Nothobranchius furzeri: one gene and its partners. The protein of the gene in region 1 purifies or fractionates together with the protein of each later gene. This does not show direct contact. Links are inferred from orthologs where the notes say so. Each region holds a gene or a part of one and is shown on either strand. Other genes may lie near its edges. The genes, in order: rpa2, hltf, zufsp, prpf19, rad52, cdk7 and cdc45.

What was found.
Region 2: the proteins of rpa2 (region 1) and hltf purify together in Homo sapiens (affinity purification with mass spectrometry, with the first as the bait; 3 studies listed by BioGRID). This does not show direct contact. The link is inferred for Nothobranchius furzeri from reciprocal best matches to the Homo sapiens genes RPA2 and HLTF.
Region 3: the proteins of rpa2 (region 1) and zufsp purify together in Homo sapiens (affinity purification with western blotting; 3 studies listed by BioGRID, with this or other methods). This does not show direct contact. The link is inferred for Nothobranchius furzeri from reciprocal best matches to the Homo sapiens genes RPA2 and ZUP1.
Region 4: the proteins of rpa2 (region 1) and prpf19 purify together in Homo sapiens (affinity purification with western blotting; 4 studies listed by BioGRID, with this or other methods). This does not show direct contact. The link is inferred for Nothobranchius furzeri from reciprocal best matches to the Homo sapiens genes RPA2 and PRPF19.
Region 5: the proteins of rpa2 (region 1) and rad52 purify together in Homo sapiens (affinity purification with western blotting; 3 studies listed by BioGRID and IntAct, with this or other methods). This does not show direct contact. The link is inferred for Nothobranchius furzeri from reciprocal best matches to the Homo sapiens genes RPA2 and RAD52.
Region 6: the proteins of rpa2 (region 1) and cdk7 purify together in Homo sapiens (affinity purification with mass spectrometry; 3 studies listed by BioGRID and IntAct, with this or other methods). This does not show direct contact. The link is inferred for Nothobranchius furzeri from reciprocal best matches to the Homo sapiens genes RPA2 and CDK7.
Region 7: the proteins of rpa2 (region 1) and cdc45 purify together in Homo sapiens (affinity purification with western blotting; 3 studies listed by BioGRID and IntAct, with this or other methods). This does not show direct contact. The link is inferred for Nothobranchius furzeri from reciprocal best matches to the Homo sapiens genes RPA2 and CDC45.

The regions. Positions count from the first base shown.
Region 1 is NC_091745.1:71,983,799-71,987,867, forward strand, and holds the start of rpa2 (replication protein A 32 kDa subunit), read left to right. Parts: upstream 1-1,269; 5' UTR 1,270-1,397; coding exon 1,398-1,410; intron 1,411-1,632; coding exon 1,633-1,718; intron 1,719-1,925; coding exon 1,926-2,027; intron 2,028-2,206; coding exon 2,207-2,320; intron 2,321-3,674; coding exon 3,675-3,749; intron 3,750-4,007; coding exon 4,008-4,069. UniProt on the Homo sapiens protein: As part of the heterotrimeric replication protein A complex (RPA/RP-A), binds and stabilizes single-stranded DNA intermediates that form during DNA replication or upon DNA stress.
Region 2 is NC_091758.1:23,582,358-23,586,553, reverse strand, and holds the start of hltf (helicase-like transcription factor), read left to right. Parts: upstream 1-1,396; 5' UTR 1,397-1,506; intron 1,507-1,712; 5' UTR 1,713-1,714; coding exon 1,715-1,912; intron 1,913-4,196. UniProt on the Homo sapiens protein: Has both helicase and E3 ubiquitin ligase activities. Possesses intrinsic ATP-dependent nucleosome-remodeling activity; This activity may be required for transcriptional activation or repression of specific target promoters.
Region 3 is NC_091745.1:58,608,992-58,612,956, forward strand, and holds the start of zufsp (zinc finger-containing ubiquitin peptidase 1), read right to left. Parts: upstream 2,801-3,965; 5' UTR 2,768-2,800; intron 2,174-2,767; exon of another isoform or gene 2,061-2,173; intron 1,981-2,060; coding exon of another isoform or gene 1,932-1,980; exon of another isoform or gene 1,728-1,931; intron 1,710-1,727; exon of another isoform or gene 1,495-1,709; intron 1,356-1,494; exon of another isoform or gene 1,251-1,355; intron 686-1,250; exon of another isoform or gene 667-685; intron 593-666; 5' UTR 584-592; coding exon 127-583; intron 1-126. Other genes in the region: kpna5 (importin subunit alpha-6), read left to right, coding at 1,932-1,980, 2,801-2,934, 3,105-3,206, 3,458-3,557, 3,783-3,877. UniProt on the Homo sapiens protein: Deubiquitinase with endodeubiquitinase activity that specifically interacts with and cleaves 'Lys-63'-linked long polyubiquitin chains. Shows only weak activity against 'Lys-11' and 'Lys-48'-linked chains.
Region 4 is NC_091741.1:94,861,653-94,865,583, reverse strand, and holds the start of prpf19 (pre-mRNA-processing factor 19), read left to right. Parts: upstream 1-1,131; 5' UTR 1,132-1,264; coding exon 1,265-1,283; intron 1,284-1,477; coding exon 1,478-1,627; intron 1,628-2,141; coding exon 2,142-2,218; intron 2,219-2,504; coding exon 2,505-2,646; intron 2,647-2,787; coding exon 2,788-2,861; intron 2,862-2,947; coding exon 2,948-3,013; intron 3,014-3,109; coding exon 3,110-3,151; intron 3,152-3,256; coding exon 3,257-3,331; intron 3,332-3,417; coding exon 3,418-3,493; intron 3,494-3,593; coding exon 3,594-3,703; intron 3,704-3,792; coding exon 3,793-3,931. UniProt on the Homo sapiens protein: Ubiquitin-protein ligase which is a core component of several complexes mainly involved pre-mRNA splicing and DNA repair. Required for pre-mRNA splicing as component of the spliceosome.
Region 5 is NC_091744.1:73,170,775-73,174,768, reverse strand, and holds the start of rad52 (DNA repair protein RAD52 homolog), read left to right. Parts: upstream 1-1,194; 5' UTR 1,195-1,334; intron 1,335-1,628; exon of another isoform or gene 1,629-1,851; intron 1,852-1,941; 5' UTR 1,942-1,956; coding exon 1,957-2,010; intron 2,011-2,164; coding exon 2,165-2,266; intron 2,267-2,447; coding exon 2,448-2,541; intron 2,542-2,684; coding exon 2,685-2,752; intron 2,753-2,853; coding exon 2,854-2,972; intron 2,973-3,061; coding exon 3,062-3,137; intron 3,138-3,221; coding exon 3,222-3,439; intron 3,440-3,523; coding exon 3,524-3,705; intron 3,706-3,994. UniProt on the Homo sapiens protein: Involved in double-stranded break repair. Plays a central role in genetic recombination and DNA repair by promoting the annealing of complementary single-stranded DNA and by stimulation of the RAD51 recombinase.
Region 6 is NC_091757.1:44,652,888-44,656,969, reverse strand, and holds the start of cdk7 (cyclin-dependent kinase 7), read left to right. Parts: upstream 1-1,282; 5' UTR 1,283-1,333; coding exon 1,334-1,399; intron 1,400-1,621; coding exon 1,622-1,681; intron 1,682-1,760; coding exon 1,761-1,794; intron 1,795-1,877; coding exon 1,878-1,945; intron 1,946-2,151; coding exon 2,152-2,220; intron 2,221-3,660; coding exon 3,661-3,771; intron 3,772-3,868; coding exon 3,869-3,987; intron 3,988-4,082. UniProt on the Homo sapiens protein: Serine/threonine kinase involved in cell cycle control and in RNA polymerase II-mediated RNA transcription. Cyclin-dependent kinases (CDKs) are activated by the binding to a cyclin and mediate the progression through the cell cycle.
Region 7 is NC_091757.1:55,446,234-55,449,733, reverse strand, and holds part of cdc45 (cell division control protein 45 homolog), read right to left. Parts: coding exon 3,487-3,500; intron 1,381-3,486; coding exon 1,216-1,380; intron 1,121-1,215; coding exon 982-1,120; intron 910-981; coding exon 826-909; intron 7-825; coding exon 1-6. UniProt on the Homo sapiens protein: Required for initiation of chromosomal DNA replication. Core component of CDC45-MCM-GINS (CMG) helicase, the molecular machine that unwinds template DNA during replication, and around which the replisome is built.

The DNA of each region.
Region 1 (4,069 bases):
TAAAGGTGCATTATGTAGAAATGAAGTAAAAACAACATCCTGTGGGAGAATTAGTTTACTGCAACCTCTTTAAACAACTGGACCTTTTTGCCGGCTATCGTCAAATTACAACTGTCGGCGCTGCAGTATTAGCTCGCAGGAGACACGGCAACCCCACACTCACTGATGGTAAACAGTAGTTACACCCCTCCTTCCTTATTTGTTTTGAAAGAAGAAAAAACTGACAATCCCCGTAGCTGAGATGTTCTCATTGTAAAATTTTCACTATATTCTTACATACTGCACCTTTAAACCAAAATCAAAAGAGTAGCTCACATTTGATTGATATAAAATGAATAAACTTAAAGTTTCTACAATACTGGCTGCCACAAAAATAAAATTAACATCAGGCCGTGTGGACTAATGACAATGCAAAGTGTATTTATGCACAGGCGACGCTGTAAAAGGGTTTATACTAGTAATGGCACCTCAGGGGCAAATTCCTCCATAGATTATTTTTATGTCTTCTAAATATAAACCAGTTAGTTTCCTGTCGGGAAACTGAAGCCAAATGAACCCACATGTGGTCATAAACAACTCTTAGAGCTTTTATGAATTCCAACATACTTTTAAGTGTTTCATTACAAGAAAAATACAAGTAAAGTTGAGACTGGTGCTGCTTTCTTTTCATACACGGGATCTATTACTGCAACACCTTTTGATTTGCCAGTCAATTGCATTGCTTTGAAATAATTAACAATCAATATCAATAATATTATTATATACATGCAAGACTGTTTATTTAGAACCTGCCCTGTTAACGTTGAAACAGTTTATTTGATTCAATTATTATTTCTTAAAATATAGACGTAAAAATTTTAGGGTCAGTTCATAACTTAAAATTACTTAGTTTGTGCTTTCATTTATTGTAGAAGCACAATAATATTTGTATTTGTCAAAATAAAAAAAAATTGTAAGAAAGATTTTCCGTGTGCATTTTGTCTTTTACGACAGTCATTGAATGCAACTAATGTGCTATGCAACCTGCCTAAAATATTCCCCGTATTTTGACGTCAGGTGGAAAAGCATAAAAAAACAAAAATGTCTTCTTTTAGTTACACACATTATGCTATTTTACGGAAATACATTTTTACAAGGATTATATTAGTTATTATTTTTATAGAAATGAGTCGACAAAACGTTGAAAAAAATTCCTGTGAAACAAAGCTCAGGGCTAAATGTACCTTAGTTGTTACGAGTTCGCGGGACTTATACTGTGCGCATGCGTTGTACATTGAGTTTAGCGCGCGAGTTTACTTAAGGAGAGATACTGCGTAGCTACATTGGGATACTAGGCCGTTTCGGAAGTTTTAAAACATTTGCACACCTTTTTAATACGTTATTTACGCGGTGGCACCATGTGGAATCAGGGTGAGTTGAATGCAGACTCGGTTATTTGTGTTTAAAAATCAGTAAAGGCACGTAGATGTCTGTTTGAGGCTAACGTTAGCAAGACTTTGGCAGTCAACGTTCGCTTACCTCATGAGGTTAACGCTAATGCTATTACACCGAGTTGTGTATGTTACCCAAGTACGTTTTACTTCGAATAATCGCTCCTGTTTACTGTAGTCTAATTGTTTTTTGATCTTTCAGGAGGCTACAGCGAGTCTGGAGTGGACGGGGGATACACTCAGTCTCCTGGAGGATTTGTTGCATCCCAGGGAGGAGAGAAGAAAGGGGTCAGTTGTAGTCTTGTTATAGCCAGATTTTAATCCAAGACAAACCTGACTCACGCCCAAATTGATTAAAAAATAAGTGCTAGGTTACACTTTTTCTCCTACATTCATTTTACAATCCAATGGATCAATATCACATACTCAGATATTTGTAGATTATGCAAGATTAAATGTTGATAGACTAAAAATTGTATGATTTTTTTTCACCAGAGAACGCGTGCCACACAAATCATCCCCTGCACAGTGTCTCAGCTGATGTCCGCCTCACAAGCAGACGAGGCCTTCAAAGTGGGAGATGTGGAGGTTACCCAGGTAAGCTGAACCAAGGCAAAGTGTACATGTGACAGCATTCAGTTAGAAAGAAGTAGAAAGTCCCTACATAATGGTACTGTAATAATAATGAAATAGTGATGGCATAATTTTGTCAGGTTACACTAAAATAAATGTTAAAATGATGAATAGTAGTAATTTGCTTTATCTTTGTGTTATAGGTCACCATTGTGGGCATCATCAGGAGTACAGACAAGTCTATGACCAATATCCAGTACAAGGTTGATGATATGACTTGTGCACCGATGGATGTGAAGCAGTGGGTGGACACTGAGGTGGGTGATTAAACTGTTTAGTGATTTTTTTTTACTAGTTAAGATTGGGTCCATTTCCTAAAGTCCAAGTCCACAAGGTTGACCGATATTGTTTTTCTATTACCGATATGTAGGAGACACTGTAAGCAAATGGTTGATATCTAGATGTTTTCCACCTTACTTTCCTGCTAAAATGTCACAACATCAGTTAATGCACAAATTTTCTGAAGCTGAATCAGTTTGTGAACTCTAAATTTAACTTACTGTTGAATCTTTACTTTGTGCACTCTCATTTTAAAGTCAGACACCTAAATAAAGTTAGTTTAGAATATTTATTATGCAGATGTTATTAGTGAATGTAAAAATACATTCAAAGTAATTTTCTCCAACAGCACCGGGCTGTTCAAATCAGCTTTACTAAGGACAAATATCGGTCAATACCGAAGTATAAACGCTGGTAAATATCGGCCGAACGATTTATCGGTCTACCCCTTCCCCAAAGTTAGGACCAGATTTTTTTGTGAAAACAGAAATTTAATTAAAAATAATTATGTTTTCTCTAACGAGATAGAAGGAGGATTGCTGTACTGATGCTAGTCAGTGACTCGATGCAACCTGCTGTGTTCCTTATATAGGAGCATTTTCACTGATTGGCTTAATGAACTGACCTGTATCGTAATGTTTACTTTGTGAAGTGCCTTGAGACGACTCGTTATTTGGCATTGTATAAATGAACTTAACAAAATTGAATTAATGTTCTTTTTTGTCATATTAAAGAGCAAGTTCACTGAGAAACCATTTTTCCTAATTACGTTTTAAAGGATCGGTCACTCAGAGTTTAACATGCGGGCTTAACGTGAAAACAGTCTCCTACCCCTATTTCCTGCATTTACGTTTGATAGAAAAAATGAAGAAAAACAAAGTTTGGTTCACAAAAGCCTAACAGATCTATGTCACACTGTCACTTAACATTCATGGACTCGCCTATCTCATGACGGGGAAGGCTGTTGTTAGTTAAGCATCCAGGAGAGGACAGAGCGTGTCTCGTTAGCATTAGCAACTCGACAAGATGGCAGAACTCCTTCAGGTTTGTGCTATATGTGGAGATAAAACGCAGAGCAGAGTCAGTGGTAGAGCTGTGTTGCTGTTAGCCAATCAGAGGATAGATGTCCAAATATTAGGAAATAAGACTCCAAATCCTACCTACGTAATAAAACAGGAGCATCTGAGCTTTTTTCCTCAGAGAATGACTTACAAGGCATGGATTCCTACTACAGACCACTGCAAATGTATTAAATATGAGTAAATTTGACTTTTAATATAAAAAGTTTACACAAAGGTGTGATTTTTGAATTATGTTCACCTGTGTGTGCAGGACCCGAGCGTCGACAGCGGCGTGCTGCCTCCAGGAACATATGTCAAAATCTCGGGAAATCTGCGATCTTTTCAGGTGAGTTTAGTTTTACAAACGTCTGTTTTTCCCCTGAAGTAAACAAAAACTGTTTTTAAAACATCAACATTTCTGCTGCTCCAGGCAAGAATAAGATTAGACAAACAAAACTCATTGTTTATGATGATTGTGAAAATGTGAAAATGTTTTCATGACTACAATAAGTACACAGCCATTAATCCCATGGCTGTGTACTTATTGTAGTTCCTCTGTGGAATCATCCTTGAAGAAACTGAAGCTGTTTGTTTCCCGTGTCAGAACCACAGGTCTGTCGTGGCGTTCCGCATCCGGCCCCTAGAGGACATGAATGAAATCACCTC
Region 2 (4,196 bases), on another chromosome or scaffold:
GTTTACAGGAAGTGGACAACAAGCCTTTTGTGTTTCGACTTCTATAAAAGGATATTCTGTGGACGACTTCCTGGAAGGAGTCATGACACACGACCCACTTCCATCTCCTGGTCACAGAAATAAACCAATCACCTAAACCAGATGTGCAAACATGCATTTGCTGCACTGTGTGAGTGCATGCAGAGTCTCTGGATGATTACCTCCTTACTGGATATCAGCAAGTGAACCACAAACACAGGAGGACTTGCAGAATCTGAAGAACCTGGGTACAAAAGCAGCCTGAGGACTCACGCTGAGGTGTTATATTTGTTGCAGCTGCAGGACAAAACTAGCCTAGTGAACTAGACCAAATTCTTGCTTTGCAAAGTTTAAATAATACATTTATTTAGTCTGGCTTGCCAGGCTAGGACAAACCCTCTAGATGGGGAAATCACAGGCACAGATTGTGGTAATGATTTAAAGCTGCAGTTTGAGCCACACACTGCTTCAATGATCATGGGATAATGATGGACATTTTATTTTATGCCAGATATATTTAAAATAACCAATTTAATCAATTCTACGTTTTAGCATACAATTAGATTATTCTTAATGACACATATATTGTGAAACTGTGTTATAAAGGCTATACGAATGTGTAATAGGGTGATTCATTGGACTTAATCTATTACAATGACGCATCCTGTTTACTTCCTATAAGTTAATCACAAAAAGAGTTTAGCTGAGTGAGGTTTTGCATTTCTAAACAAGGTGTTTTGGTTTTGCTTATTTGTTTTCATAAATTGCTTTAAAATAATGGAAACCATGTTAAAGAAGCACGTATGTCTCAATGGGACTGATTATTAATTGACTTTCGCAGAGAAATCAAATGTAAACTCACCAGTAGTAGCTGTCAACCGATAAAGCAGCACCTCAGCTTTGTTTCTGTCTGTCTGTCTCGAGTCCGTTTAACGTCCAGATTTTCTGAGGTTTCAAAAGAAGCACAACGAGTGTAAAAATCGGTGCGGTTTTTAAGCACACACCGCCTCATTTGTGTGTCTCGTTCCTCCCTGGTACTCCCAGTCACGGATGTTCGGTTCGGGAAGGAACCTAGCAGCGAGGAAGCGGAACTTTATTGAAGCGAGAAGTGAGACCCTCACGGCTTCCGTAGCACTGCTCTACGCATCACTTCTGCGCAGCACGCTGCGAAAAGCAAAACGTTTAGGATTTTCGGGATCAAAATGTTAGAAAACTAGAAACAAAGCACGGTTTGTTGCTTTTTTCCAAATTATTTATTTAACAAATTTTTACTGAATATTAATTTTGTTTGTTAAAAAAATGTCAGATGTCAAAATCAAAAGTAGTAGATCTCAAAGATGTCTACTACTTAACCTAGCAATTTTATTTTGAAAATTTTAAACGGAAGTCGCAGATTTACTGGACTGGACTGGTATTGGCTCAGATGAAAATAAGCGAAAACACTCGCGCGGAACTTCTCTCATCAGGGCTGGCAGCAAGAACTTGGCGGTATGTGACCACACTTTGTGGGCGTCACAAAAACATTGTTAAATTTTGATTATTGTTCTTCATGCGCAGGCTGCTTGTTTCTGTAGATTTATTTAAACTCAGATGATTAAGCTAACAGTGCTTCGGCCTGCCAGAGTGGTTGTTTTGCGTGGCAAAATGATAAAAGTGGCGGTTATTGATGTGTTTATTTTAATTTATGGACACAGGTATGTCTTTTCGCCGGTGGGGGTTCGGTTGGGGGCCGTTCGATGATGTGGACCTCTTCTCAGAGCCCTCAGAGACCCAGACAGATACTCTGTCCCAGATCATCAGAGCTGCTAGAGCCGAGGAACCAGATGCAGATGGATGCGTGCTGTTTGGGAACCTGAAGGGGACTGTGGTCGGGCTCAGATATTACACTGGGGTGGTGAGTAACCAATCAGTCACTATACTGATTATTATGAAATTAAATTATTACTATGAATATTTACTGAGCTTTCATTATTTTGAGTTTGTGTACCAGCCCTGTGATTTTAGGTTGAATTTCTGGACTAACTTTTGGTTTATAAACTCAGTTATAAACAAGTTGGAGATTAACCCCCCCCCCTTCTCACCCACTGATTCCTGCTGGTCAGGACCTTGGTGATCCGTCTTCGCCAGCTACAAAAGCTCATCTTCTGCCACTGTGCTAAACATGGAGCTAAATTCCTAAAAACCAATGGTGATTTCATCACCCATTGAACTGTTGGGTCTGCATGCAGAACCAAATGTACAGCAACATCTTACTACATTTACTGGGGTTACTACATTTCTTGAGTCCAGGATTTTGGAAGACTGAGATGATCGTGGAGTTCAAGCAGGACCACTGTAGACAGTTGATTAGCATAGTGATTCAGGGTGGACAAAGTCCTCTCCAGCTGCACTGCAGGGGTTCAGCTGCTTGAATCACCTGTTGATATTTACTAGATTCAGAGAGGATTGCAGGGAGAGGAGACAACGGAGCCATTGTTGCTGAGGTGTGAAGAGAGTGTCTCCATCTGGTACTCTGCAGTTGAAAGGGGACTGTCTGTGGGTGGAATGGGATAATGAGAAAGAAGAAGAAGAAAATATCATTTCTATAGCGCCTCTCATGTTAAAAATTGCGAGGCGCTTCACAAAAACAAAAAAATATAAAAAGGCATTTAGAAAATGTTGAAAAATATATTAAAATGAGCAAAAATAGGCAATTGTGATTAAAAAATGTTAAGAAAGAGAACTTTCAGGTTTCAGACACGTTAAGAAAGAGATAGTGTGAAAAGGAAAGAGGGAAATCAGTGGATCCTGAGGAAGGCGGAATAGGTGGGGAGAGCAGAATAAGGAGAGAGTGGTGAAAAAGGTCTTACAAAAGCCTGCTTGAACAGGTGAGTCTTCAGCTGCTATTTATTTATTTAAATTTTTTTGTAATTTGTAATCTGTAATTTGAATTGCTTTTATTTTCAGATTTATTCACTTTATTTGACTTTGTACTGTACAGTGTTCAGCGCCTTGGGCTTCCTGACAGGGATGCGGAAGGCGCTTTATAAATAAAGCTTTGATTGATTGATTGATTTTAAAGGAGACCACTGAGTCCACTGATCTCAGGCTCAGGGAGAGAGGTCCAGAGTCTGGGGGCCACAGCAGCAAATGATCTGACACCTTTGGTCTTTAGCCTGGTGCGTTGCACGATCACTGGACCTCAGGGACCTGCTGGGGGTGTAGGGACTAAGAAGGTCACCAATGTAAAGCCGGGTGTACACTGTGCGACTTTTTCACTTTTTTGAGCCGATTTTCCAGTCGTGCGAGAATCCACGAGATCGGGACGAGTTTTGCGCCGAGCGTCGTGTAGTGTACAGGGGGTTACGAGAGGCGATTAACACCACGTGACCAGCTACCGATCAGCAGTCGTGAGGTCGCATGGACTTCTGGCGTGTTTAATATTTCGCTCGTCCCTCGTGAGGGTATCGCACTGTTGAAGCGGCGCTGCGAGCAGCTGCGACCCAAAATGTATCAGAACCGCTCACGGCGCATGCGCAATCCTGCATCAACACCGCTCGCTCGCTATTTCCCTAATAACACACGTTGTTTGTTTTTATTTCTACACGTTTTTTTTTACTCACAAAGATTGTCAAGAAAGCGTGTTTGTCGTGTTCATGTCAAATTAAACTGATCACAAAACACAGATTTACTTTCTTTATTTCGTTTTCCTCATCCAACCCCCATAAATCCCTGTGTGTCCTCCTGCAGCACTCCCGAAGGACAACAGGCAAAACAAGACCAAAAAGTCTGACGTGCTGAGTAAAAACTGCTATTTTTAGCATACTTTTAGGGCAGATGTGTTGCTACCAGACGTACAGTGTGAGCAGTCAGATTGCGTCCGAGAACTGGGTCGTGCAGTGTGAGCGCATGACTCGTGAGATCTGCTCTGGGAGGAAGTCGTACAGTTTGAGCTGAAGCTGAGTGCTACGAGTGAAAAAGTCGCACAGTGTACGCCCGGCTTAAGATGGTGCTTGTCCATGTAAGGCCCTATAGACCAGAACCAGGATCTTGAAATGAACCCTGAAGTTGACTGGCAGCCAGTGAAGCTGGAGGAGAAACGGGGTGATGTGGGTGTGTTTGGAGGACTTGGTCAGAAGCCGAGCACAGGCGTTCTGAACCACCTTTAGACGGTTCAGGGAGGTTCTGCTCAGACACGT
Region 3 (3,965 bases), about 13 Mb from region 1:
GAAACATTAATGTAGATTACAGACCTCTCATCTTTTGTAAGTGGGACATTTTGCATAACAATGGCTGAAAAATACTTTTTTGCCCAACTGTAGCTCTTCCTGATACGGACGGCTGCAGCAGCTCACCTTTGGTGTGATCAGATTTGTTTCCAGTGACGGTCTCCTTACAGCAGCTGGTGGAGGGTTTAGGACACGATTCTTTTAAACGTGCCTTTAACCAAAAACTCTCAGCATGTGGTGAGTTATTCTTTCCTGTTTGTCCTGAGTCTGCATGGACTCTGCTGGTTATTGCTTCACCAGATGAATCACAGCTGTTTCCAGATGCAAAGGACTTTGATGTTTGGGCCATCCTTCTGTCACTTATAGCAACGTTTTTTGTTTTGGAGGAACCTGAAAAGCATGTGGCATTTGTGTGCTCTTCAGGATGTGCAGTTGATATGTGGAAACTGAGTTCGTTAAAGGAAACTCCAGCCAGGGAACATAGTGGACAGTGCATGTCATTTTCTAGGTGACTGAGAAGGAGATGCGTCTTCATGTCCTCCTCCAACATCAGTTCTTCTCCGCAGATTTCACAGGTCAGCATGGCCGCCACCTGCAGACAAAGGTTAGTATTAAGCTCTAATACAGCAGAAGCCTTGCAAATGCCAGATTAAAAGATTGATTTACAGTCTCTGAACGTGGTAAGCCTTGCACACAAACTGAACAGTCATTCAGGAATGGGATCTGAACATATACATGTAAATATCAGGTAAATATCTAAACTTCGGATTTAATAACTACTCTTATCCACCTATGTAACCAGAATACTTCTGGAACACCATCAGAATGCTAGTCTGCTGTTCGTCACCTGATCTCAATCTGAGATATGAGAGAAGCTGTCAACACGTGACCAGGTCAGGTTCATGAAATGAATGAAAGAGTTCAACAACACATGAAGCTTTTATGACGGTTTGAATTTGAATTTTGCAAGTTCCAGTTTGAAGTCAGATAACAAGTCAGTTGAAAGCAGGTCCAATTTCCGCTGAATGTTCTAGTAACGCTGTTTTTCTGACACACACACACACACACACGCACGCACACACACACACACACACACACACACACACACACACACACACACACACACACACACACACACACACACACACACACACACACACACACACACACACACACACACACACACACACACACCGGGTAGGATCCAGCAGCGAATGTTAGTCTCGAATAAAAACAGAAAATTTACTTACTAATAACAATACATCAACCCAAAGGAGACTGACTCCAACACAGCTTTGCTTTACGTCATTGCGCTTTAAAGGCCTTGACACTATGAACTGGTTCCGTACAAATTTTCAAAATAAATCTAAAACAATTCATGCGTCCCGATGTTAAGTCCTATAATGAAGGCACAAATCTATAGCAAGTGAGTTAAAACCATTTTTCCTATGCGCATGCGTGCAGACAGGTTTCAGATGGAAAGGCTTCACTTACTAACGGATGGTGGTTTGGTTTTATTTTTTACCCTATACAGAGAAACATTATTAGTCTAGCTTGACGCAGAACTGTTTGGCGGGCGGTTTTACAGCTGGCGGAAACGACGTCATTGTTGTTGTCGTGAGAGGGTTTCTGGGAAACTGTTTACCAGAACGCCATTTTGGTTTAAGAAGAGTGAGAACAGCTGTCCTGGTTTTTGTCTTTATGCGCTGGTGAGACCGGGACTGAGGGAGGGTGGTGGCGAGTTTTGGTCTCAGAGTTCAGCTTTCTCACGGGACGTAGCGCAAGCTGTTAACTTGCTATGAAGCTAGCGGAGCTTGTTAGTTAGGCTAAACCACCACACACGGTGGAGCGGTGTTTATAGTCTGGTGGTGTCACTAGTTCAGACTGGTTTTTCTGTTTAAATAGTTTAATTTCCGGTCTTGTTCAGTGTAATGTTTACTTTAACCATCGGGACACGTTTAGCTAGTCTGGCGCTGATCTGTAAGTTAAATGAAACGGTCACGTCTAAACAATAAAGATGTTTAGCTTCCTGTTGTGTTTCTGATATTAAACCGTTTATATTAGGTCCGTCTGATGGTCAGGACAGATTGAACGAATCCATCATGAAACAGCAGATTTGAACTGGATTCACTGGTTAGCTCTGAAACCCAGCTGATCGGACACCAGTTTCAGGGTGGGTTCATTAACTGACAGCTGGGGTTTTCTCTGAACCAGGATCAGCCATTAGAGTGGCGTTTACAGTTAACACACCAGGTGAACTGGAGGAGGGTTTTGGGTTCGTGTTTTGCAGTCAGACAACAGATTTGTGTTTCCACTTTGAGGAGGCAGCAGACTTGTCACCCAAGTTATTTATGGTTATAGTGAGGTTAGGTTGCCCCTAAAAAGTCAGCTCAAGTTGGTTCAATTTCTTTATCTCAGTAATTCTAGATGTTTGGATTTGGACAATGGCGTCCTGTTTCCTCCACTTGCTGTCAGGTTCCTCACACTGGTCCCAGATCCATTTAAAACTGATGAGTTTTACATTTACTGTTTTTAAGGCTGAATTTAGTTAGAAAACTCAGGTCAGGCGCTCCAAGACCCATCCAGTGTTTGGTGAGATCTTGTTTGGTCAGAATGAAGAAAGTAGAAACTGCTGTCACCTAGCAGTCAGAGTTTGAATTGCACCAAATCAAAGAAATGCAGCAAATCTTTCTGTAAATTCTGAAAGAATGAATACACTGCTTTTAAGTATGAATCCAGTGTTGTATCATGAAAATTATAATCTTACATCCTCAGTTTGTTCTTGTGTTGAACTCTTCAGACATGATGGCGAGCCCAAAGAAAGACAACTATAGGATGAAGAGCTACAAGAACAAAGCGTTGAATTCTCAGGAAATGCGTCGAAGGAGAGAGGAGGAAGGAATTCAGCTGCGTAAACAAAAAAGAGAAGAGCAGGTAAACACTCTGGCTCACTTACGCTTTCATGTTTAAAACTAGCTTTGGCCAATGGTACCTTGGAGCTGTGCATCATTCAGGATTATGTTAGAGAGGCTGATGAGGGTGTTTTGTGGTTTGTTGATATGCTAGAAGCTTGGTAACAAAGTTATGTGATTCATCTGAAACAGCTCTTCAAAAGGAGGAACGTGTCTGTACCTTCAGCTGATGAGTCGATGCTGGACTGTCCGATCCAGGATCCCGACATCAGCTCCACAGTACCTGTCACAGGCGTAAGTGTTGGTCAAATAAAAACATCCCACAACCACATGTCAGGTTGGTTCAGGACTCACATTTTTGTAATTTTGCCCCAAATGAAGATTTCCAGAGTGAAGTCTGGAAAATAAAATCCACCTAATTCTGTAACGGAATGAATTTATCCCATCGATCTAACGTGGCTCACATCAAACAACGGAGACACAACATGAGCGTTAATGCTGCATACATCCATGCTGGGTCTGTATCTAACATTGTGTTTGTTCAGGATGTGGTCATAACACCAGACATGATTCAGATGATCTTCTCTGAAGACCCGGATCAGCAGCTAATCGCTACGCAGAAGTTCAGGAAATTACTCTCAAAAGGTTGGTATCCCACATTTCCACCATTCCTCTCTGTGCTCCATAGATGATGCTGCTGAGGTCTGCAGCATAAGTGTGGAGACTGCTTAAAAACGCACAAACTGGGCCCATATCTACTGGAATAAAACCAGTAGATAGATTTAACATGTTATGTTGTTGTAGAATAAAGGTCCACTCTTATGCCATTAGTGCACAATTTACCTCACTGTTTCTGTTTCTTTGGCACAGAGCCCAACCCACCCATCGACGAGGTCATTTCCTCTCCTGATGTTGTTCCTCGCTTTGTTGAGTTTCTGAAGAAAAATGAGAACTCGACTCTGCAGGTGAGAACTTTACGCTCTTCTCCTGACTCGCTGTCATTCTGAAGGTCAGCATCACCCGACAAGCTCTGACGCAACAAGATAAAGATGA
Region 4 (3,931 bases), on another chromosome or scaffold:
GCTGTTACCTACCTCCAGACCCTCAGGACCAACATGATCTGCACTGTCTTTGCCGGGTGTCTCAAGTGTTCATTGGCCTTCTATGATCCCTAGGTCTGCATAAACGTCAACATAGTTACTCTAAGGTTTGCAAGAGAAAATTATTAAAATGCCACATTATTATAGCATAAACTAAAGTGCATAATCATCCTGTTCATTCCTGACTGCTGCAAAAAATATTATAAATATCTGTCTTGCAGTTAAAGTTATTTTGCAGGTGTAGTGTTATTACCCTCTAGACAATTGTAGAAATGTAACCTATTATAGGGCAACAGCCTGTAAATCTGGGAACATATTATAGCATCACTAATGTAATTCATTATTGACTATCAGAAGGTTGTCTCTAAAACAATAAAATGTATATTTAACACAAACGCCTCATATTATCTATTCTTTGACTATAGAGAAATCTGCTTGAGCATGGGTCTGCATTCTTTACAATCCAAACGGCCGTTTTTCTCTCAGTCCATCCCAATAATTGTTCAGAGCCTCAACTGTTAGAGGACGTTCAGGAAAAACGCCATTTATGATAAAAATCTATGTTGGAGGTTTAACGTAGAGGAAAGTTATCTTCTTTTTTTTTTTTTTTTTTTTGCTCAGATGTCTTGACATTAATGGGAGAATTCTGAGATTAAAGCAAGAAATATTTGTGCCTTCTTCAATAAGGAACTATTAGATTTGCTGTCATTTAAAAATATCCAACATTTGTTTCCATTAGTCAATTTTAAAATGATAAAAAAAATACTTTGGCAAACGTAGAATGGAGATTTTTCTCTGGGATGTTGATATTTGTGGAAAATTATGTCAAATGGTAATTGTAGTTTCATTTTGATGTGGATATTCAATGTAGTTATTCCATAAAACCCGAAAAGCTGCTTTAACCAACAATTTTTAATATGTCTATGTTAAAAATGTGCTTTTTAAAATAATTTTTATCTAAAGAGCCACTTGCACTGCTGGTTGCAGACCCCTGTAAGATTTTCAAGAGTGCAGTGGTGTGTTTTAAGCGGTGGAGGGCAGTGCAGACTGAAATGAGTGCGGTTTGATTGTTGGCGGAAACCAGCGACGAAGAAAAAGGAAGCAGTTCCTTTATAGCGGCAATGAAAGGACAGCGTGCTATCTCCAGTTTGAACTAAATATAAGTGTTCACAAGCGGGGGGAAATTCAAGACGCCAAAAAACACAGTCTACGTTTAGGAGGGCACTGTTAGGACTGCGTTTGGAACATGTCTTTGGTTTGTGCAAGTAAGTGAAGATGAAAATTTGCAGGACGGCGCCTGTGAGTTAGCTCGGTATCATGCTAATGCTACAAGCTAATGAAGCTAACATTAGCGGCCACGCAAACCGTATTTAACTTCAGTTTCCCTCCATTCTCTTTTTTTTCTTTGTTTTTACTGAGTTGTGAGCGTTATGCGCCCTCTCCTTTTGTTTGTTTGTAGTTTGCAACGAGGTGCCGGAGCACCCGTGCATCTCCCCGGTGTCCAATCATGTGTTTGAGCGGAGGCTGATAGAGAAGTACATCGCCGAGAATGGGACGGACCCGATGAACGGACAGCCGCTGTCCGAGGAGCAGCTAGTGGACATCAAAGGTGAACTACACCCTCGATTTGACTTTATTTAAGTTTGATTAACTTGATATTTTTGGACACTACGAATGAATTAATGAGTAAACGACGAGTTTGAAATTCGCATTGTATTAAAGCCTGTTTAACATGATAAACATGAAATGCTGAGTTATTCACACTGAAGTGGTTGTTTGGGACAGATTATTTAACCTAAGGCTAACCGATTATTAATCCAGGCATCAAAAGGGATCAAAATTAAAAATACAGTTTATTATAATAAAGGTAAATAACTAAACTTTTTGTCTTGCGTCGTTTTTAACTGAAATGATCATGGCCATCTGATCTTTCATTTATTTTATTTTTAATTGAGTCGTAATTTTAAAATAATGGTTTTAATTTATTATTAGTAACACTCTGATAAGTCTGGGCCTTTCAATAAACTGTACCAGTTCAATCCAGTTGCACACTGAAATAACATATTTAACTTAAAAAGGTTTGACTGAATTTTTCCTGGTTTGGAAAATGTCTTCCCGCTTAGTGACCCACCCCATCAGACCAAAGGCGCCATCAGCAACAAGCATCCCAGCTATTCTCAAGTCTCTTCAAGATGAGTGGGTGAGTGATGGAAACGGTCAGGAGGACACTCGTCCACCTCACACCTGTGTGTTATTGTTGACTATTTAGAACAGGAATCACCCTTTTATTTTTCACACAACAGCTGCTATTTGAACAAAAATAAATCTGAAAACTCGTCAAACACATAGATCAACATATGACACTTTTACGTAACTTTTGAAGTAATTTTGGGGTTTGTAAGCTCAAGTATTAAAGACATTGCTGTCATTTCTAATAAATTAATTTCAAATCTCAGGAAGAGTTGTTTTTTTTATGCGTCCTACAGGATGCCGTCATGCTTCACAGCTTCACCTTGCGGCAGCAACTGCAGACTACTCGCCAGGAACTCTCTCACGCCCTTTATCAACACGACGCAGCCTGCAGAGTCATCGCTCGACTCAACAAGGAGGTCACGGCTGCAAGAGAAGGTCTGTATGTCCTAAGAAGACACATCTTGGTGTTTCTAAAATGTTAATAGCCACTTGGCGTGTTATTTCAAAGGTTTATTTGTTAAATGGGAACATAAGCACGTTTAAAATGTCCTAAATGTGTTTATTTTGTTTTTGCAGCTCTGGCCACACTTAAACCTCAAGCTGGACTGGTGACCCCTCAGGCCGCCCCCGCCTCTCAGCCTGCTGCAGCAGTGAGTGACCCATGCCTAACTGTTTTAACCCTCAGCTCTTGGTAGTTTTAGTCCTCTTGTATAAAATATTCACATTTGTATTGCAGGGTGCTGGTGGAGAGCCTATGGAGATCAGTGAACAGGTGGGAATGACTCCAGAGATCATCCAGAAGGTAAAACACTTTTTTTATGTCCACAGAATTTTATTATTTTATTATAAGCTCATATTTCATTTTATTTAAACAATTTAATCTGTTTGATCATTCCAGCTGCAAGACAAGGCTACTATTCTCACCACAGAGAGGAAAAAGGTTTGTAGCATTTTTTCCTTGTTATAGTTATAACTTCCAACGGAAGGTAAAGTTTTTATATCTTGTGATTGTGTGTGATTTAAAAAGTTCCTTGTGCTTCTGTAGAGGGGAAAAACTGTTCCAGAGGAGCTGGTTAGAGCCGAGGATCTCAGCAAGTACCGCCAAGTGGCCTCCCACGCTGTAAGTGCAGAACCAGGATGATGAAGATGGTCCTATAAACGACTGAATGTGCTTCATCTGGTGGACTTGTTTCCTGTTTGCTTCAGGGTCTTCACAGCGCCAGTGTGCCTGGTATTCTGTCCCTGGACGTGTGTCCCTCAGACACCAGCAAAGTGCTCACTGGTACTCTGAGCTTAACTCTGTCCTATTTGATTTGGCGTTGTGTCGAATCACCCGCTCGGGGCCGATTTAGTCCAACGCTGACTGTGTTGTCGTCCTCCAGGTGGAGCTGATAAGAGTGTGGTGGTGTTTGACAAGAACGAGGAGCAGATTGTGGCGACTCTTAAAGGCCACACCAAAAAGGTCACCTCTGTCATTTTCCATCCATCTCAGGTGAGTCTTTGTCCGTTGGGGGTCTTTTATTGATAACTGAAGGAACGTGCCAGGTGTGATCCTTCTCTCTGACGTGTTCTCCCCTCTAGTCTATGGTCTTCTCTGCCTCTCCTGATGCCACCATCCGTGTGTGGTCTGTTACCGGGGGCAACTGCATCCAGGTGGTGCGTGCCCACGAAGCCAGCGTCACCGGTCTGTCCCTTCATGCTACTGGAGACTACCTGCTCA
Region 5 (3,994 bases), on another chromosome or scaffold:
AGTAATTTAAAAACAATCAAATAAAATAATGAATTTTAAAATTCATAATTTTATTTGTGAAACGTTAAGTGACTGAATTAAGCATGGAATAACTGCAGATCATCGCTATGGGGGATCTTTGGCCTGTGCAGATTTGTTTTAGTTTACCAAAACAGCTTGTTTAAGCTCAATGGCGGATATTTTCTTTCAGGATTTTTCTTATAGAGCAGAATTCATAGATCCGTTGAATACAGCTAGTGGCCGTGTTTCTGAAGCTGGAAACCCGTGATAGAATTATCCAGAATGTAAATAAAAATGTTTTAAAAAAATTGTATTACTGGAATTAAAAATGAAACTTTGAAGGGATGCGAAAGTATTTCATATTTTAAAATGTGATGTAACGACAACAGAGACCCAGGAACCGTAAACATACACAAACATTATGGTTCACCATAATAAAAAAGATGTAAAAAAAATACTAAAATAACTAAAATCACATTTTAAAATGTCCAACAGAAATCCAAATTATTGTCTAATCTAGAAACAAAATTAACTTAATTCAGAGCGATACTACTACTACTACTATTACTACTACTACTACTACCTTCTCGGCCTAGTAGAGTGTCTGCCTGGGTCTTTAACCCTCCCGCTGCCCTCACCCTTGCCACATGGGCCCAAGGGATAAACCATCAATCCTGCTCAATGGTCAACTTTCCTCGCAGGGTCACCCATAAAGACAGTGGGAGGGTAAAAAATGGGACCCAGTGCCTCCCTGCTTGACACCCAGCATTAAGGGGTTGGATTGGGGGGGTTTAAACCAATAACAGCATATAACAGCATATATATATATATATATATATATATATATATATATATATATATATATATATATATACACACACATGTGTGTGTGTGTGTGTGTGTGTGTGTGTGTGTGTGAGCAACTCCAGAGTGGTAGAAAGTCCAACCCCTCTCAAGGAAACTGGTTACGGAGCCAGAGCCATGCATTGAGGTGAGTCCGACTATATCTAGTTGGAACCTCTCCACCTCAAAAACCACCTCAGGCTCCTTCTCTACCAGAGAGGTGACATTCCATGTGCCAAGAGCCAGCTTCTGTAACCAAGGATCAGACCGCCAAGGTCCCCGCCCTCGACAACCACCCGTCACACACTGCACCTGACCCCTTTGGCCTCTCCCACGAGTAGTGAGCCCAGGTAAGGGGGACCCACGTTTCCTCTCTGGGCTGTGCCCGGCCAGCTCCATGGGTGAAAACCCGGCCACCAGGCACTCGCCAACGTGTCCCACTTCCAGGCCTGGCTCCAGAGGAGGGCCCCGGTGACCCACGTCCGAGCAAGGTAACACGGTTTCCATTTATGTTATTCATTATATATATATATGGGTTAAACCACCAAATAATGCCGCTTCCCACTGGATGGGTCAAATGCGGAGATCGCCACCACTGTGTGATGACTGTGGGACTTTGAATACTACTATCACTACGTTTCGTTTCTAACTTCAACTTTATTTTGTTACTATTTATGTTGATACATTTTCTCCGGAATCGTTAGGAAAAAATACCTCTCATTCTGTTATTAAAAAGGTAATGGTGTCTCTGCAGAAATGTTGAAGGGTTAATTTTCCGATTGTCAGGAAGGCAGCACGAGGCTCCGCCTCTTCCGGTGAGCCAAGCGGGAAGTTGCTTGTAAATTTAAACTAGCTAACACCTTCGTGCTAATTTGACGTAAACACCACATTTATTGGATTTAAAGCAGTGAGTTTACGTTTACTCGTTTTTTTATTAGCAGCTTTTAGCTAGGTTGAGCTAGTTACGAAGACTAAAGCTTAAACCCAACGAGTCACTTCTATGTTTAAGTAAAGCATTTGTTTTGTTAAATGTTGTTTCAAAAGCCTAGAAGACACTAATGAGTGTTACTGTTTCGTTTTGCTCTATGTGTGTTTCAGTATGTCTGCACAGCTATGACGAGCAGCAACGAGGGATGCATCCCAACGTCATCCAGGCACTTCGGACAGGTAAATAAATCAAACAATTGCAGAACTCGAAACTATTTTAGATGAATTTTCAATCGAATTACACTTAAATTATAATATTAGATTAATAAATAATGAGTGTTTTAATCCCACAGATGCTCAGGTTTTGTCAGATGAATTTGTTTGACTTTTTCAGTGCACCTACACAGCTGAGGAGTACCAGGCGGTGCAAAATGCCCTGCAACAGAAACTTGGACCAGAGTACATCAGTTCCAGAGTGGCTGGAGGGGGACAAAAAGCAAGTGTTTCTTTTACTTTGTGACAAAAACGTGAGACGCCTGGTTTCATTCATGAAGCTTGAGATTCAGAGCTTGAGCAGAAAACATGTCTCAGCACAAAACCCAAGTCTCCTGATGGGATTTGAATTTACTGATCATTAAAAAGGTATTGTAATGATCTAATAGTGTTGTTTTAAACAGGTGTGTTACATTGAAGGCCACCGTGTTGTCAGCCTGGCCAATGAGATGTTTGGATACAATGGATGGTCGCATTCCATTTCCCAGCAGAATGTTGGTACGACTCATCTGCATTTGCAACAAGTGCCTAAAAACTATTACTTGCTGAAAAACAGTCAGAAATAATCATTTGCACATGGATCCTTCAAATATTTTACGTTTTAACGTGTTATAAAAATGACTTCTTTTTTTCTTTTCCAGACTTTGTGGACCTGATCAATGGGAAGTTTAATGTAGGAGTCAGTGCGTTTGTCAAAGTGCAGCTGAAGGTTGACTCACAGTCTCATCAATATTAATCATCAGCTCCAGTTTCCTGTGAGCCTCTACAGGTAATCGAAGTAAAGTGTAACTGGTGTTTTTTCTTTCCTAGGATGGGTCGTTTCATGAGGATGTGGGATACGGAGTGAGTGAGGGGCTGAGGTCCAAAGCTCTGTCCCTAGAAAAGGCGAGAAAGGAAGCTGTCACAGATGGAATGAAGAGAGCACTGAGGTAAAGACCTTTACAGATTTATATTTAGTAACTTTGATTCATGCGAGAAATTTGTGTAACTCTTCAAAAATATTATTTCTCATGTTGAGATGTTTTGGTAATGCCCTTGGAAACTGCATCCTAAATAAAGATTACCTCCTCGCCATAAACAAGATCCCAAAACAGGTCAGTCGGCAATTTAGGTTTTTTGTTAAATTGGATTATTCAAATCCATAAAATTTTCTAAAACTTGACTTCTTCTACACAAAGCCTCCTCCTCCTCCTGACCCGACCCAGACTAAACGGTGCGACGGTCAGCCATCAGTAGAGAAGGCTCGGCTCTTCAGTCTGGTCCAGGAAGATTCACTTTTAAAAGCCGGACCTGCCCGAATGCCACTAGAGCCCAGATTATTCTACCAGAACCATTCAGAAGTTCACACCCCTGGAGCTGCTGGCTTTGCTCCCAGCGGGGTGAATGAGAACATCAAGTAAACATTACAAACGGCTCTCAATCTGCTTCTCTCTTTTACAAGTGGTCATCCACCATAGCTGCTTTTCTCCTCTCCTCTAAGATATGCCGTGAACTCTGTCGATGTCGTCTCTGAAGCACACACGGACCCCAAACAGCTGAGGAAGCTCCGACAGCAGCAGCTTCAGCAGAAGTTCAGGAGAGAGATGGAGGCAAAGAAGCTGCAACAGAAACAGGAAAACTCTGAAGAGGCAGAGGTCGCTGTTAGACGTAAATCCTCCGGAGGTAAAAGTTTCATGTTTAACATTGAACACCAAAAAAAGTGCACTAAACTTTAGTAGTTACAAGACTGATATGGGGCAGGTGGAAGCGATCAAAGGTCCAGGTTAGCCCGGTAGATTATCAACATAGGTTCTTAAAGGGTCCCAGGTTTCGTGGCATTAATTGATGGTGCCATCGAGTGTACATCTGATTTTTTCCAGTTTAACATTTTGCATAACCGTCTGTGATCCAGTGGTGTTGTGATGGAGGGATAGAATCATTCCATTTTTATAAAATCAAGCGTGTGGCTAGT
Region 6 (4,082 bases), on another chromosome or scaffold:
GCGTTTATTGGTGTGGTTTAAATTGTTATTGGAAATTAAGAAGCTGACTTACGTTTTATCAGATATTGGCAGAAAAAGTGATATCAAACATCCCTAAAATTTCATCTTTAGACTCTTAGATACCAGCAGACTGTCCAAAAACACAAAGTTTGATTAATTTCCTGTTAAATGTATTGATCTGTTAATTAAATCAGAATTTTAATCCCAACAAGGTGATTCTGGAAAAGCTTGTGGTCCCAACCTGACACGCAGTCAATGATCAACAGTAGGATCATCTACATCTCAGTCAAGACTTTGCTGGATTTGACTCAGTCTTTAAAGACAGGATTGTTTCTGTTTTTGACCTCCACTTGTCCGTTTTCTTAGATATTTAGCACAAACTGCACATTATGCAAGGTCAGATACAAACAATAAGCTGAATTTTTAACAGTTATTCTAAGTATTTGACAGAGCAATAAACAATGGTTCATACAAGACCCATAAGAGTTCTTCTACACCAAAGCCAGCATTTGTGTCCTGAAAAGTTGATGATGTGATGGCAGCAAGGACTGAAGTGTGGCTAGACTGCTCTCTTCTCTGCTGCACAGCCACATACTGTCAGTCACATCTGTGAGCTGTCAGACCATGAATGTGCATACATCTGAGGGGGGTGAGGGGTGTATTAGGCATGCTGATCCTTCACACTCCTCTTGTCAAACTTAACATTAAAATGAAAGTCAGTGGTGAGTGTTCTGAATGTGTGTGTGTGTTGACGGGTGAGAATTTGGGCATTTGAGACAGAAGACAAGTAAGGTCAAAGGAGCCGTGCCTAATCCTGTGGGATGTTATGGTATCTTACAGTGAATGGTGATGGGATGTAGAGATGTGCTCAGTGGTGCATGGATCACAAAAACTTCCTAACTGACAGAACAGGCTCCCAGGAGACCAGTGTCAAAACTGGTGGATGAAAAAAAACAAATGGAAAATGGCAAATTGCCATGAGATTTGTGTTGTCTTTCCTCTAAATCAGAAACATGTATTTCATCCTTTATTTTAAAATAATAAAAGATTAAATAAAGGGTGAAATACATTTTGATTTTTAGTTAGGTGACATTAATTGGGACTGAACAAGTCACAACAATTCCTACATAGTTTGTATTAAATAACTGTTTATATTTTAAATCATTCTGAACGTGTTCTTTCAACCAAAAAATTGCACATCTTTTGACATTAAATTGTTTTAGCCTGACCAGTAGATGGCGCAGTTGCTCAGTTTTAAAGCCTGACACCTTTGCCCCGGAAGAAGTTTTCTGGCCCTTTAACCAGACCAAAAGATAGCTTACTGCTAGCTACCATGGCGCTTGATGTAAAAATCAGAGCGAAACGATACGAGAAACTGGATTTTCTCGGAGAGGGTCAGGTAGGCAGAGAATTATTTCAAAGTTTTCGATATCTACTCTTCGTTTCGCTCACTTTTATTATTTTTGCTTTGTTGTTTAACGTTTTCAGTAACTTGATAACAAGCGTTAGCTGGTAGCTAATGTCAACAAAGCCCCAGCAGCTTCGGTGTGATCACACTAGCTCTAAAAGCATTCAGCGCGTTGTATGCTCTCCTTTAATAACCTTTCTTTCATCTCTTCAGTTTGCCACAGTCTACAAAGCCAGAGACAAACTGACAGACACAATAGTTGCCATCAAAAAGGTACAAAAAAAGTGAAGTTTCTGCTTTAATCGGACACTGTGGTGTTCGGGGTTAAATTTGATTATCTGCTTGTTTTCAGATAAAAGTTGGTCACAAAACTGAAGCTAAAGATGGTAAGTCATAGTCACACCTGTGCCCCACACATACCAAACACTCGTGCTGTATCTTATTGAAAATAAATGTTCTTTTCTTGCAGGTGTAAATCGGACTGCTCTCAGGGAAATCAAACTGCTACAGGAGCTGCATCATCCAAATATCATTGGGGTACTCAAACTATGTTCATGCATTTATGTCCTCTACATTTCCAGTAAAACATCTGGAAAAATCAACCTAATTATTTAATTTGGGTAGATGTGTGTCTGAACGTTTAAGAGGCACTGTGTGTTTGATCAGGCATCTTGGTATTCTCGTGTTATTAATTTGTTTCTTTTAAATGCAGTGTTGGTTATTTACTGTGCTATGTGTTGTAGCTGTTGGATGCATTTGGACATAAATCAAACATCAGCCTGGTGTTTGATTTTATGGAAACAGACCTGGAGGTGAGTTGCCTCCTGTTTTTGATTATATGCACAATTATCCCTCTGATATTATTACTTCTGAATATGATGAAGTTCCGCATTAATATAATAGAACAGTGGTTTCCAACCTAGGGTCTGGGACCCCCCATGGGGGCCTGCTCAGGATTGCTGGAGGTCCCCACAAATGTGTCTGTGCTCAGGTTGTGAGAATACCAAGGTAGTTTTTGTAAGAATTACATTTCTAAAATCCAAATGACACACCCAAATGTATAATCAAATATCTGTATGTCTGTGTAAAGTTTTTAATTAATCATTTTTAATGTGTGGATGCTGGAAGAAGTTGTGGTTGGGGGTTCTGGCTCATCTTGGATACAGGCAAGTGGGTCCCCATGGAAAGAAGGTTGGGAACCACTGTAATAGAACATTCATACAGCTTGTTTTTATATTTGCACTAGATTTTTTTCCCCTGTAATTTAAGTACTATTAAATGGTCTTCACTAAGTCGGGTTAGGGTTAAATTAACTTTAGTTCTGTATATCCAAGTATCATAAGCAATCAGCGTGTAAAATAGCTCTCCCATTTAAGGCTTAATTTTTGGTTGAGGGTTTAAAGAACAAAAAAGTCTTTAAAAATTGATTCAGTTAAACATTCCCCAGGATTTTGGTGAAAAGGTGGTTATGATTGCACTTTTTTATACAAATGAGTAAGTAATGAAAGTGACTTCTTTACAGAATTGTGGTCTAATTTTGATTAAAAAGACAATAATCATGGTATTATAAAATTGTATATACATGTGTTGTGTCGGGTTAAATTCGTTCTTCTTCTTTTTTTTTTTTTTTTTTTTTTTTTTGCATTTGTGGACCACTAGTAATCATTCCCTCAATGACTTTTTAATTTTGGAATTAAATAAAGAACATTTGTGATGTTTAAGGTTTTGTTTAGGGAGAAACGTGTAACATAAGGATGTGTGCTGCAAGATCAAATGTCTTTACAAAAGGAGCAACTAAAATGAAAGTAAAATTATTCTTTCATGCTCCCATTCTCCTTTTTCATTCCGTTTTAACGTGCAAGACTCCAGACGGACGCACACCTCAGACACATTAGACTTTACTGATGCAATAAAAAGACAAAAGTGCTTCCAAATAATCAATATCACTCTCTTCTTGGCTCAAATACATTTATGCCATTAGCAGCTGGCAGGCAGCAGTTAGGGGAGGCATGTGTGAATTATGAGGCTATTCTTTTTCAATAATGTTGTAAACATTTTTAGGTTCAGTCAGTTAATGTTTAAACTATCAGCTACAGATGTTTAGTTTTACGGACATTTTGGGGATTTGTCGAGTAGTTAAAGTGAAGCTGTTTGGTCTGATCTCAGTTCTCTAAAGCTTCCTTGTGTGGGTCAGATAAGCATATTTTTTGTTGTTTTGCTTAGATTTTTTTGTGTGCGTTTTATTTTTTCAGGTTATCATCAAAGACACAAGCCTAGTCTTGACTCCAGCCAATATTAAAGCCTACATCCTCATGACATTACAAGGATTAGAGTACATGCACCAACATTGGGTCCTACATAGGGTACGAGCACCTAAACACCACTCTGTCGTATTCTGCAAATGCACAGAGGTGATTTATTATTTAGAATTATTGCTTCTTTTTTCCTTTATACGTTCAGGATTTGAAGCCCAACAATCTGCTGCTAGACAGTAACGGAGTGTTGAAGTTGGCTGATTTTGGATTGGCCAAAGCTTTTGGAAGCCCCAACAGAATCTACACTCATCAAGTTGTTACCAGGTCAGAGCCGCTGCAGTAATGACAACGATCGTTTTGTTGGCTTTAATCTAATTTTACAAAATAGAATTTCTCACCTCTACACTAAAGATCAAACA
Region 7 (3,500 bases), on another chromosome or scaffold:
TCTCGTCTAAATGACCAGAATGCAGAGCGCCCAGATGAATGTTATTACCGTATTTTCCGGACTATAAGCCGCTACTTTTTTCCCACGCAGCTTATAATGAGGTGCGGCTTTACTGAAGATTTGCCTTCGCCTGCCGAAACAGTGCTGCTGCACGTAAGCTTGGCATGAATGAATGCGTGGTTCGGCGCTGGAGGCGGCAGCGGGAAGAACTCAGTCGATGTAAAAAATTTAAAAAAACGACACAAGCTTTCAGAGGAAATAAAAGCAGATGGCCGGAATTGGAAAACATTCTTGAAGACTGGGTGAACACACAAAGGGCAGACGGCCAGGGTGTTTCCACTGTGCAGATCATTAGTAACCAGGCGTGTTTTGTGTGCAGTTTTTATTTTCTAATCATCCAGGGCTTATTAATGCTGCGTCAGCGCTGTTCTTTTCTTCTAAACATGCAAATTACCGGTAATAACGTGTCAGTGCTGTTTTTATTTTATAACATCCAGAAGTATGAATGCTATCAGCGCTGTTTTCTTTTCTAAACTTGCAGGCACGTTCACCCGTGGTTAAAATTCGTTTTGTTGAATTAAAACGACAACGAAAAACCTCCGTGCAGCGTCTTTCTGTCTAATTATCTTATGTTATGGCCGAACATGCGCTGTGCGCCGGAGACCTGCATGTGGCTGCTGCGCCGCGGCTTGTATTCGAGTGCGGCGTGTGTGTAGAAAACCTTTTTTTTTTATTGGTGCGGCTTATATTGAGGTGCGCTCTATAGTCCGGAAATTACGGTAATATTGGCGAGTTGCCAGTATATTTAATCAGATGCATACTTACTGAGTGGACAAAAGCCTTCAGCAGGTACTTGCAGAGCAGAGTTAGGGCCAGGGGCTTAGAAAACAGCTTCACATCAGGTGTTCCCTAAATATCAGGGGATTTATCCGTGACGCTGTGCTGCTGATCAGAGACGTCATGAGACATGCGGACACTTACCTCCATGAGGTAACAGTAGAGGAAGGGTCCCTGTGACAGGATGAGGTTGGTACAGATGCAGCTGGCCACGGTCTGCTGGATGGCAAGAAGCTTCCTCTTAGCATGATCGATGCCAACATGGAGACGATCCAGGTTGCCCCTACGGATAAGAACCAGATCAAGTAGGCCTCAACTTTTTCTAAATACTACCGAGACCATGAAGAATTTAGGATGTTGACAGTTTCTTCTTCGCACCTTGAAAGGGAATCAAGAGCTTTGATGAAGTTGTGGGCAATATCGCTCTCTTCTTTCTCCGTGCTCTCCAGCAAGGCAGCGGTTGCATGTACCATGTCGCTAGCCAGGAAACGGTTCTGAAAGCCAAAGTGAACGCCGAACGTCTGGATCCGAATTTCCTTCATTCTGATGAAAAAACAAACAAGACTCTGACTTGACATCTGATAATGAATCATTAAATACCTCATCTGTTAAACCGACCCTATAAGGGGTTTTCCATTACCAGAACTGCAGAGTAAATGCAACAAGGGGGAAATTGACTGGAAGACCCAAAGGCCCGGTGTTGGTACCAGATCGGCTCAGGGTCCTGCCTCTACAGTAGATGACTGGCTGAACGTAAGGCTTACGGAAGTTACGATACCACATTTGTAAAAGTTACGTTAGCACGTCAACAATGAGGACTTTGGTGTTGATTTGCTGTAGTCTTAGCGGTTGTAGTCGTTGTAGTCTTAGCGGTTGTAGTCGTTGTAGTCTTAGCGGTTGTAGTCTTAGCGGCTGCAGTCTGAGCGGTTGCAGTCTTAGCGGTTGTAGTCTTAGCGGTTGTAGTCGTTGTAGTCTTAGCGGTTGCAGTCTTAGTGGTTGTAGTCTTAGCGGTTGTAGTCTTAGCGGTTGTAGTCGTTGTAGTCTTAGCGGTTGCAGTCTTAGTGGTTGTAGTCTTAGCGGTTGTAGTCGTTGTAGTCTTAGCGATTGCAGTCTTAGCGGTTGTAGTCTTAGCGGTTGTAGTCGTTGTAGTCTTAGCGGTTGTAGTCTTAGCGGTTGTAGTCTTAGCAGTTGTAGTCTTAGCGGTTGCAGTCTTAGCGGTTGCAGTCTTAGCGGTTGTAGTCTTAGCGGTTATAGTCGTTGTAGTCTTAGCGGTTGTAGTCTTAGCGGTTGTAGTCTTAGCAGTTGTAGTCTTAGCGGTTGCAGTCTTAGCGGCTGTAGTCTTAGCGGTTGTAGTCATTGTAGTCTTAGCGGTTGCAGTCTTAGCGGTTGCAGTCTTTGCGGTTGCAGTCTTAGCGCCTGCAGTCTTAGCGGCTATAGTCTTAGCGGTTGTAGTCCTGTGGTCCAAAAATTAACACTTTTCAGAGAAAATATGTTTGAATTTCCAGAGGAAATGTAAAATAAAAGCAAAGATATCAACTGATAAACGGCGACCCCCAAAAGCTCTCGATTTCGATGAAATGGGGCAAATAAAATATAAGAACTTTCTTGAAAAGACACCAAGTAACATTTTGAATGAATGAATGTGTTTACATAACAACGATGGAAATATACAGACGAATTCCACATTACCGTATTTTCCGGACTATAAGCCGCTACTTTTTTCCCACGCTTTGAACCGTGCGGCTTATAATGAGGTGCGGCTTTACTGAAGATTTTCCTTCACCTGCCACCAGGAGGCGCTTTAGCAGGAAGTGAAACAGGTGGAAGTCAAAAGTGGAAATCGAAGAAAGTGCTCATTTTAATTTAGCACATGCAAGCAGCCGGCATGACGAAGATTTTTTTTCAAATCCATACCCCCTCATCATGGTAACTACACATATGAGTTCATATGATGCCGCATTTAAGTTGAAGGCCATCGATGTGGCAGTAAAGGAGGGAAACAGTGCTGCCGCACGTAAGCTTGGCATGAATGAATCCATGGTTCGGCGCTGGAGACGGCAGCGGGAAGAACTCATTCAAGCCAGCTTCACCCGGGGATGATGACAGCAACACGGACAGCGACACCGACATCACCACAGAAAAGGTACGTGACGAAGCTCTTCTGAGGCTGTTCAACTCCGACACTGAAGAAGAGGACTTGTTGGGAGGTTCCTGTAAATTTACCCTGAAGTTTCGGTAATGGAAACACACCTTATGTTATATTTGTTGGGGGTGTTAACGTCAACTTCACAAGAGTCTATTAATTTAAAATAAACATTTATAAGAATTTTAACCATATCTTCATCTGCTGATTTTCTAAAAGACAAAATCCTGACTAAATTTTATGTGAACATGTTTTAAATATCTCTTCATGTACACATATGTATATTTAACTGGTGATTTACCAACAGTTCTTCCTTTTTCCACATCAAAAACTACCTCTATGCAATTATTTTTGTAAAGCGCCATATGTGGCTCACCTGTTCCTGCTGCTAAAATTACTCATCATAGGGAAGGTGGCTTTATAAGAGCTTAGTCTTAACCGCTGCTGAATCACACCATGTCAGAGATAAAAAGCAAAGGAAGCGTTGAACAAGTCCGCATCCATACCCAAATTTATTAGA